2 linked regions of the Ovis aries genome follow. The protein of the gene in region 2 interacts with the protein of the main gene of each other region in a pairwise test. Links are inferred from orthologs where the notes say so. Each region holds a gene or a part of one and is shown on either strand. Other genes may lie near its edges. The genes, in order: SCOC and FEZ2.

Region 1 (4,269 bases), on a different chromosome or scaffold from region 2:
GCATAGACTCATTCCTTACTATTTTCATTTTTGTTGATAAGTTCAAATCTTGATTCCATGGAGACCCTAAAATTCTGAACTTTCATTTGAAAAACACTAAAAACACACTGGTAATTTCTTACATTTTTCTCTATTAAACAACTGAATGAAATGATTCTCTTCAAATTAGCCAACTATCAGTTATTATTAGGAAATTATAATCTTCAGAAAAGTATATGAAAACAATTTACCAAATAGCAGTATAGCATACTATTAAGTCTAGTCTTGAAATCAAGTTTCAACAAGCAGAATATTTTCTTTACTCACCAAATTCAGTTCAACACTCATTCTCCAATGAATTTAATAACCTTACAACGGAAAAAAATAAGTATAAAGGAAAATGTGAGTTCTTTTTTAGGAATGAGATCAAACACATTTTGCAAATTAATGAGTGTAAAGTATGAGGAACACACCTGGTTACACTTGAAAGTTATCAAAATGTTCCATTTAGCATATTTCACTTTAAAATATCCACAGTATGTTTAGAACCCTCTAATTACTAAAAACAAGTTCAAAGTTTTTATGAGCTTGATGAGAGTATGTCAGACTAGAACATCAAAATGAACTTGGAAGTTTCTCTATTTTATTATTTATCATTTCTTCCTTACACAATACTTTGCCTTGTAATAATAAATGATAGTTTCCAATTTAGAGTTCCCCATTCTCTATGAAGAATATTTTAATTTATGCTTTTACTTATGTAGTTTATAATACATGCACATTCCAGATCACATGAATGGTCATCTTATGATCAGTTATTTCTGTGCAATTTCAGTGGTCCCTATTGAATGTTTTCCTTATTCAGAAGAGAATTTTGTGGCTATTTTTAAACAATTTTTTAACTGAAAAATGTAATGCAAAGGAAACAATACAACAAAAGTTCACTTCATATAAAGTTTGCCAAGGTTTCTATACCCTTTTTATATTCACTTGGATGTACTGTTCCTTTTGGTCACTTTTTGCCATTTCAAGATTCTTTTCCTGTTCTTTCAAGGACACATCTTAATTATCAGCAACATTGTTTTAGCCAGTTTGCAATCTTTTGTGAATGACATGTTGCTTGTGACGACATTATGGTTACCTTTTTGTATGCTATCTTCTTCAGATAATTTGTCTGAAGATTTCCTCTAAGTTCAAATTCTCTAGCAAGATACATGTTTGATACTGAAATTTTTAAAAAGGTGAATGCTCTAGAATTACCATATCCTACTTATTGGTAATCATTTTCCTTCATTTTAAAAATAGTTTTATCTTCCAAGGGTGTATCCAAAATAAACCATAGGGGCTTTTTTTTTTTTTGGTCTGTTTTTTAAAATGTAGTTTAAGTGTCTTCTTATCTACAAGTCTTCTCTCCATTCTTTTTTCTTCCAATGCAATTTATTTGTTAAACAAAAGGACTTTTATTTTCATGTTATTTGTTCTTGACTTGTTGCTGTTTTGTTCCACTATCAGATTTCGATGTTTACCCAGACAGTAGATTTAACACATTTCTCTGTTCTCTGTATTTCCTGTTAAATTGCTAGGTATGGGCTTGATCAGGTCAGGTTGCATTAAAAAAAATTTTTTTGTGAGACTATTTCATTGGTGATGCAGTCTTCTTCACCACGAAAGTAAATGTTATCTGGCAGGTTCTCTGTGTATTGTTAATGATACTGGTGCCCAGTGACAAGATCAGTGTTTCTCAACAGTCTTTTTCACTGTGCCTCACCCCCAAAGCCTTTTAGACATTATTTTCCTAGTCATCCCTTCCTCCTGGGAAACTGTCTTTTGCCAAACTTGTAAAGCCAATATGTCTTCAACTATTTTTCAGTACCACATTCTTTTTCCTTTCCTTCTATGATTCTGATGACACAAATGCCAGGTCTTTTTTGTCATCCTTGTGTTCTGAGTTTGTTATTTTTTTTTCAACCATTTTTCTCCCTGTTTGAAGGCTGGATAATTTCTACTGAGGTACCCTCCAGTTCATTCTTCTCTCCTTCATGTCCATCCTGCCACTGGATCTTTGGAGATAGTTTTAAATTTCAGTTATTTTATTTTTCAGTTATACAGTTTCCATTTGGGTCTTATTTATAGCTTTTATTATGTTGCTTATACTTTAGATTATAACTTTTGTTTCAGGAGTTTTCATAATTGTTCAAGTATTTTCAAATAGCTGCCTAAAATCTTTTCAAGACAACTTCAACATTTGTGCCATCTCAGAGTTGCTGTGTTATTTTCACATAAAGTGAGATTTTCATGGTTCTTCATAAGCTGAATAACTGCAGACTGGATCTTGGACATTTTGTCTATAACATTATGAGACCTTGGGTCTTGTTTAAGTACCAAGGAGAATGCTGATATTTTTGTTTTGGTAGGAATTTGAGTTGGTTAGGTTGAAGATGTAAGTTCCAAACCACATCCTTTGGGCTGTGGTTCCAATGTCAGTTCAATTTGGAAAGTCTTGGCAGTGCTTTATTTTTACTTAGTTCTAGCAATCTTAATAATTCAATAGAGTACGTATTATGATACTCTTTTTCCAGGTAAAAAGATAGGTTTTAATTCAGTCTATTACTAGCTGTGTGATATTGGACAAGACACTCTTTGACTTTGATTTCCTCGTCTGTAAAATGGGGTTGGTAATCCCTAGATCACTGGATTGACGACTGAGTAAAATATCACATGTAGCATACCAAGCATACTGCAAACCTTAAAGAAACCTGGCTAGTATTCTCATTAAAGAAAGAAATCAGCTTTGGTGAGGAAAAGTAATATATAATCAAATATATACATTTTAAATTACAGAAGATACCTTTTGGGAATTGTATACACTGTGTAACCACCATCCCAATCAAGATATTATAGAACATTTCCATTACAGCAGAAAGCTCCCACCAGCCCCTTCTCAGTCAACCCTCTACCCATTATCAACCCGAGGCAACCACTGATCTGTTCTACACAGCAAAGTTTTGTCTCTTCTAGACTCTATAGTAACAAAATCATGCAGTCTATATGTTTTCCACCAGGCTATTCTCACTCAGCACAATATAGTTCAGGTTCATCCATATTAACAGTTTGTTCCTTTTTATTCCATTGGGCTACCCTAGTGGCTCAGTGGTAAAGAATCTGCCTGCAATGCAGCTTCCCAGGTGGCTCAGATGGTAAAGAATCTTCTTGCAATGCAAGAGACCCAGGTTTGATCCCTGGGTTGGGAAGATCCCCTGAGAAGGGAATGGCAACCCATTCCTGTATTCTTGCCTGGAGAATTCCATGGATAAAGGAGCCTGGTGGGCTACAGTCCATGGGGTTACAAAGCGTCGGACACAACTGAGCAACTAACACACACATGCAAGTATTTCATTATTTCATTGGGAGTTTCTCTATTATTGACTTAAAAGGTTCTTAGAAATTCCAAATTCAAGACCTTTGTTAGATAATGTATTGTTATTGTCTTTTCATTTCCTAAATGATACCTTTCAAAGAACATGGAGTTTTAATTCTTATAAAGTTCAATTAATCTTTTCTATTTTATTATTGTTTTTGTGACCTTTCTCAAAAAATTTGCTGACACCTAGGAGACAAAGATTTTCTTCTCTGTCTTCTAGAAGTTATTTATCTCTGTTTCTGTCTATGATCCATTTTGAATTTACAGTTTTGTGTACGATGTAAGTAGGGGTTGAGATTCTCTTTCTTTGTTCTTTCAGAACTGTTTTGGCTATTGTAGATTCTTTGTATTTCCATATGAATTTTAGAATCAGCTTTAGAACATGATTACGGAGAGAAATGAAACTCATGGAGCCAGCATCACAATTGCCCAGGCTCCCTGTCTAGGGACAACTGATGGATTTGATTTTCTAGTAATATGTTGAGGACTTCATGTCTATGTTCAGTTTTATATTTTTTAACGTCTTCATCTACTTTTGATATCAGAGTTATGCTGTTCTCATAAAATGAGTTAGGAAGTGTTCTTTCTTATTTTATTTTCTGGAAGAGTTTATGAAGAATTGATGAAATTTCTGAAAATAACTAGAAGAATTTACCAGTGACATCATCTGAATATATAGTATCTTTTGTGGGAAGATTAACCTGGTAATTACATTTCAAAATACAGATAAATTTTAAAATATAGACAGAGAACTATTCATATCTTCTGTTCTTGTTGAGTGAGCTTTTTTTTTTCTTTCAGGGATTTGTCCATTTTATCTAAATTATCAAACTTATTGGCATAGGTTGTTCTTAGTAGTCTCTCATTAG
Region 2 (3,824 bases):
CCCTGACAAGTGTGACCGATTCCCACAGAGAGGAGAGCATTTTCCTTCCTTGCTGGGATTTAGTCTGTGGCTGAATGACCATCTGTCAGAGATGCTGTAAACAGGGATTCCCCCCAAGTGAGAGGTTGGATTAAGTGTCCTTTAAAGTCCCTTCCAACTCTAAAATTATATAATTCCATGAGATCAGCAAAGGCTAAAACAGTAATAGGGAGCTTCAGAGAGGAAGGGAAACTTGAACTAAGCCCAGAATGATAGCTAAGATCCAAATAAACAGAAGACAGAGGATAAGATATTTTGCTTTATTCCTGCCCCTAAATGTATGTCAGGTCAGCCTGCAAAACAGCTTAAGGAGATTAATAACTGGAACAAATAAATCCTGTATGTACTAGAATACAAAGAAATATAGTCAGAATCCTATATTTTACTAGAAATATAGGATTTCTAGGCGGCAAGCTTTTCTGAATCACACTTTTAAGAACATCGTTTCAGAAAACATTAATAGCACTATTTAAAATACAATCCTACTGCATTATACTCTCCGAAATTACACAAATACACTTAATGAAATATAGAGCATGCCAAAAGAGCTGGCATGAGTTAACACTGCTATTTGATGAAGAATTTAAATAGTCCGGCCCTGAAACTTCCATTTGGCCTCCTTTTTCGTCAGCGTTAAACCACACTGTGATTTTCCACTTAAAGCAATTCCCTTCCCTTTTCTGTCCCCTTTGCTATCCTTCCACCTGTGCTCACACTCCTTACCCAAGGTGTCTCCACTTTACAATTCCAAGACATACATGCTGCTGCTGCTGCTAAGTCACTTCAGTCGTGTCCAACTCTGTGTGACCCCATAGAGGGTACCCCACCAGGCTCCCCAGGCCCTGGGATTCTCCAGGCAAGAACACTGGAGTGGGTTGCCATTTCCTTCTCCAATGCATGAAAGTAAAAAGTGAAAGTGAAGTCGCTCAGTTATGCCTGACTCTTCGTGACCCCATGGACTGCAGCCCACCAGGCTCCTCCATCCATGGGATGTTCCAGGCAAGAGTACTGGAGTGGGGTGCCATCGCCTTCTCCACAAGACATACACAGAAGCCTCCAATGGTTAGCCAAGAACACATCAAAAAGCCAAGACTTGAAATGTCTTTTAAAGGTTCTCCAATATTCAAACATGTTACATCCAGCATTAAATTCATCAGAAAGTTAACTCTCTGTAGACACTCCAGAATCCTCCATATATTAAATCAAAGCCTAAGGTTCTTACCGAGTATTGTCAATGTATCAAAGTTATGTTATTTAAGCTAGAAAAAAATGCTGATCATTGCTGTTCATACACAGGTGATGAAAATTTACCTAAACATAAAAAAGGTGAGTGTGTGCTAGGGAAGAACTGGAGGGAAATGTCAGCAAGTGGACAGTAGCAAAAACCAAGATGGCAAAAGAAGACCACTTCACTTGCCATAAGCTTGGAAATAAGAAGCAACTCAATGAATTGTGGTTAGAGAGAAACACTACTTTTTAGTTCCATTATCAGAATCGGTTATTCAGAAACTATTGGTGCAAATCCTAACTTACCCCTTTTTCTGAGAGATTCAGAGTAAGCAAATGCAAGGTCCTAGTATGGGATGACTTCCAGTCTACAGGCATTACATTTCCGTAATTATCTGTCAGGGCATTCCAAATCCTTAAAAAAAAAAAAAAACTACAATCAATGAAAGTTAACATTCTGTCTATCATTATTAAACAGATATCTAGTACTACAGTGAAAGAGAGAACAAAAACTATCACAGCAAAAAAAAAAAAAATAGAAGGCCTACTCTTTCTCAGAAAAGCATCAACAAACCAGAGCCTCCTGAATAAGATTAAAGGAAAGCCCAACCACTGGGCTGACAAGTCCTGAGGGAAGAAGACATGGAACAGAAAGCTCACCAAGTCAACGGCTAACATTTCCACTGTCTTGTGAGCCAGGTATTACCTAAACTGTTTACATACATTCTAAGCAATTTACTTACATTGGCTCACTTAATCCTCAAAAAGAATACCATGAAGAACCATTATCATCCCCATTTTACAGATTAGGAAACTAAAGCACAGGAAAGTTATGTCGTGTTTCCCAAGCCAAAACAGGTAGTAAATACACTGTGCTTTATAATTATTTTTCTTTTGTAACTTCCAAACATATAGACTATTCCACAGAGTGAATAATCTCTCTTTAACCAATGAGAAAGAATTTCCAGGAGAAGGAATTCAGCCTCAATACGAGACTAGGGCTTAATATCTAATTTATAGTGTAAGGCTAAGATAAGATGAAAAGGGAAAGAAAGGGAGTTCACAATAAAATACACAGATTATACCCAATGCAATTACTCTTCCTTATTAACAAACAGAATTTTGAGGAGGCAACAGAGTAAAATGAAAAGAGCACCTGACTAAATTCAGAAAACAGACTCTCATCTCCATTCATCCTCAGCCTCTGATCATGCACTGTAACTTCTGCAGGCATTAGCTGCTCTTTCTAAAACAAGAAGCTTGGATAAGGATGGCTGATGTTTCTTCCAGCTCTAACTCGAAGCATTCATTCAAATTAGTTATATTGATGAAAGTTCCAAACCATACCAAAATAAGGACTGAAAACCAATTTCATGACCAAAATTCAGTTTCAATCCCAAAGTAATAACCAGCGTTTTTTTTAAAGGCATTATATGAAAAAAAGAGTTCAGAAATATAAATGAAATTAAATTTAATTAGTCTAAGTAAAGTTAAACACTACACAAATAAGCTATTTAATGGTCAGAGATACACACATACAATTAATAAATTTAAAAAAGCTAACATTTTTAACAAGTATCTAATCGTGAATAAGCCACTAAAAAAATTGGGTGGGTTTTTTCCTAAGTGTGTAAGATACTAGGATACAAAAATAAGACCACTGGAATTATAAAACTAAGAATGCAAGCTTCAAAACAGAGAAACAACACACTGATTTAATGAACTGGAATTTGGTTAAAAGAGAAGCAATGGGACCACAACTGCCAAAAACAGACAATCCCCAAATGACACTTGGCTGTTGAATGCATATTAGCCTCCATGAACATGTGAACACAAAAAGCTCGAGAAAACTGGCTCATTTACCCAGCAAATCTCTCATATGCATGGTTCATTCCTATCCTCCTCTCTGCTGGAATCCTCATTTCCTCTAATGTCAATATGCTCAAATTGGAAATACTCTGGGTTGCTAAACTTGCTGGCCCACCTCTTCCTGGGTAGAAGATCTTCCAATACTAAATGACTGACCATACACCTAACCCTGGTCAGGAACCACTAGGATATTCTAGTAGGTGAAGACAGTCCAGAGATTTTGAGGTTCGTTTTGTCTGCTGTTTGTTCCTTCTTAATTGAGGCCGTAATAAAAGGACAAGTGGAGCGGAAGATTTTATGTAGAATAATTGACTGTGGGTGAATTTGATCTCCCAAGAAAATGAAGGACAAGTCACAGTCCTCTATCTTCACCAAGGCCAGAACATTTGTGGCTGAAAGGACACAAGGCCGGATTAACTGAAAGACTTCTAGAATACTCCAATCAAGATAGGAACTGCCTTCATCCGATCATAAAGCATTACGGCCAATCATAAACAACTAGCAGGGCGGCTCTTTTCCAAAGGAGGTCAAAGTCTCACTGACATTCAATCCCTCACTAGACCCTTCTAAAGTATTGGCTTATTTAGCCGATAAGCACAATCTGTATGTAACCAAAACTAAAACTGGGACTCAGAAAAGAATAAAGTGCCCTAAGTGAAAGTGAAGTTGCTCAGTCGTGTCTGACTCTT

Evidence for each region.
Region 1: the proteins of FEZ2 (region 2) and SCOC interact in binary tests that used the Homo sapiens proteins (3 or more experiments, as listed by UniProt). The link is inferred for Ovis aries from reciprocal best matches to the Homo sapiens genes FEZ2 and SCOC.

Annotation. Positions count from the first base shown.
Region 1 is NC_056070.1:17,420,704-17,424,972, reverse strand, and holds the start of SCOC (short coiled-coil protein), read left to right. Parts: upstream 1-1,330; 5' UTR 1,331-4,269. UniProt on the Homo sapiens protein: Positive regulator of amino acid starvation-induced autophagy.
Region 2 is NC_056056.1:87,440,422-87,444,245, reverse strand, and holds part of FEZ2 (fasciculation and elongation protein zeta-2), read right to left. Parts: intron 1,682-3,824; coding exon 1,573-1,681; intron 1-1,572. UniProt on the Homo sapiens protein: Involved in axonal outgrowth and fasciculation.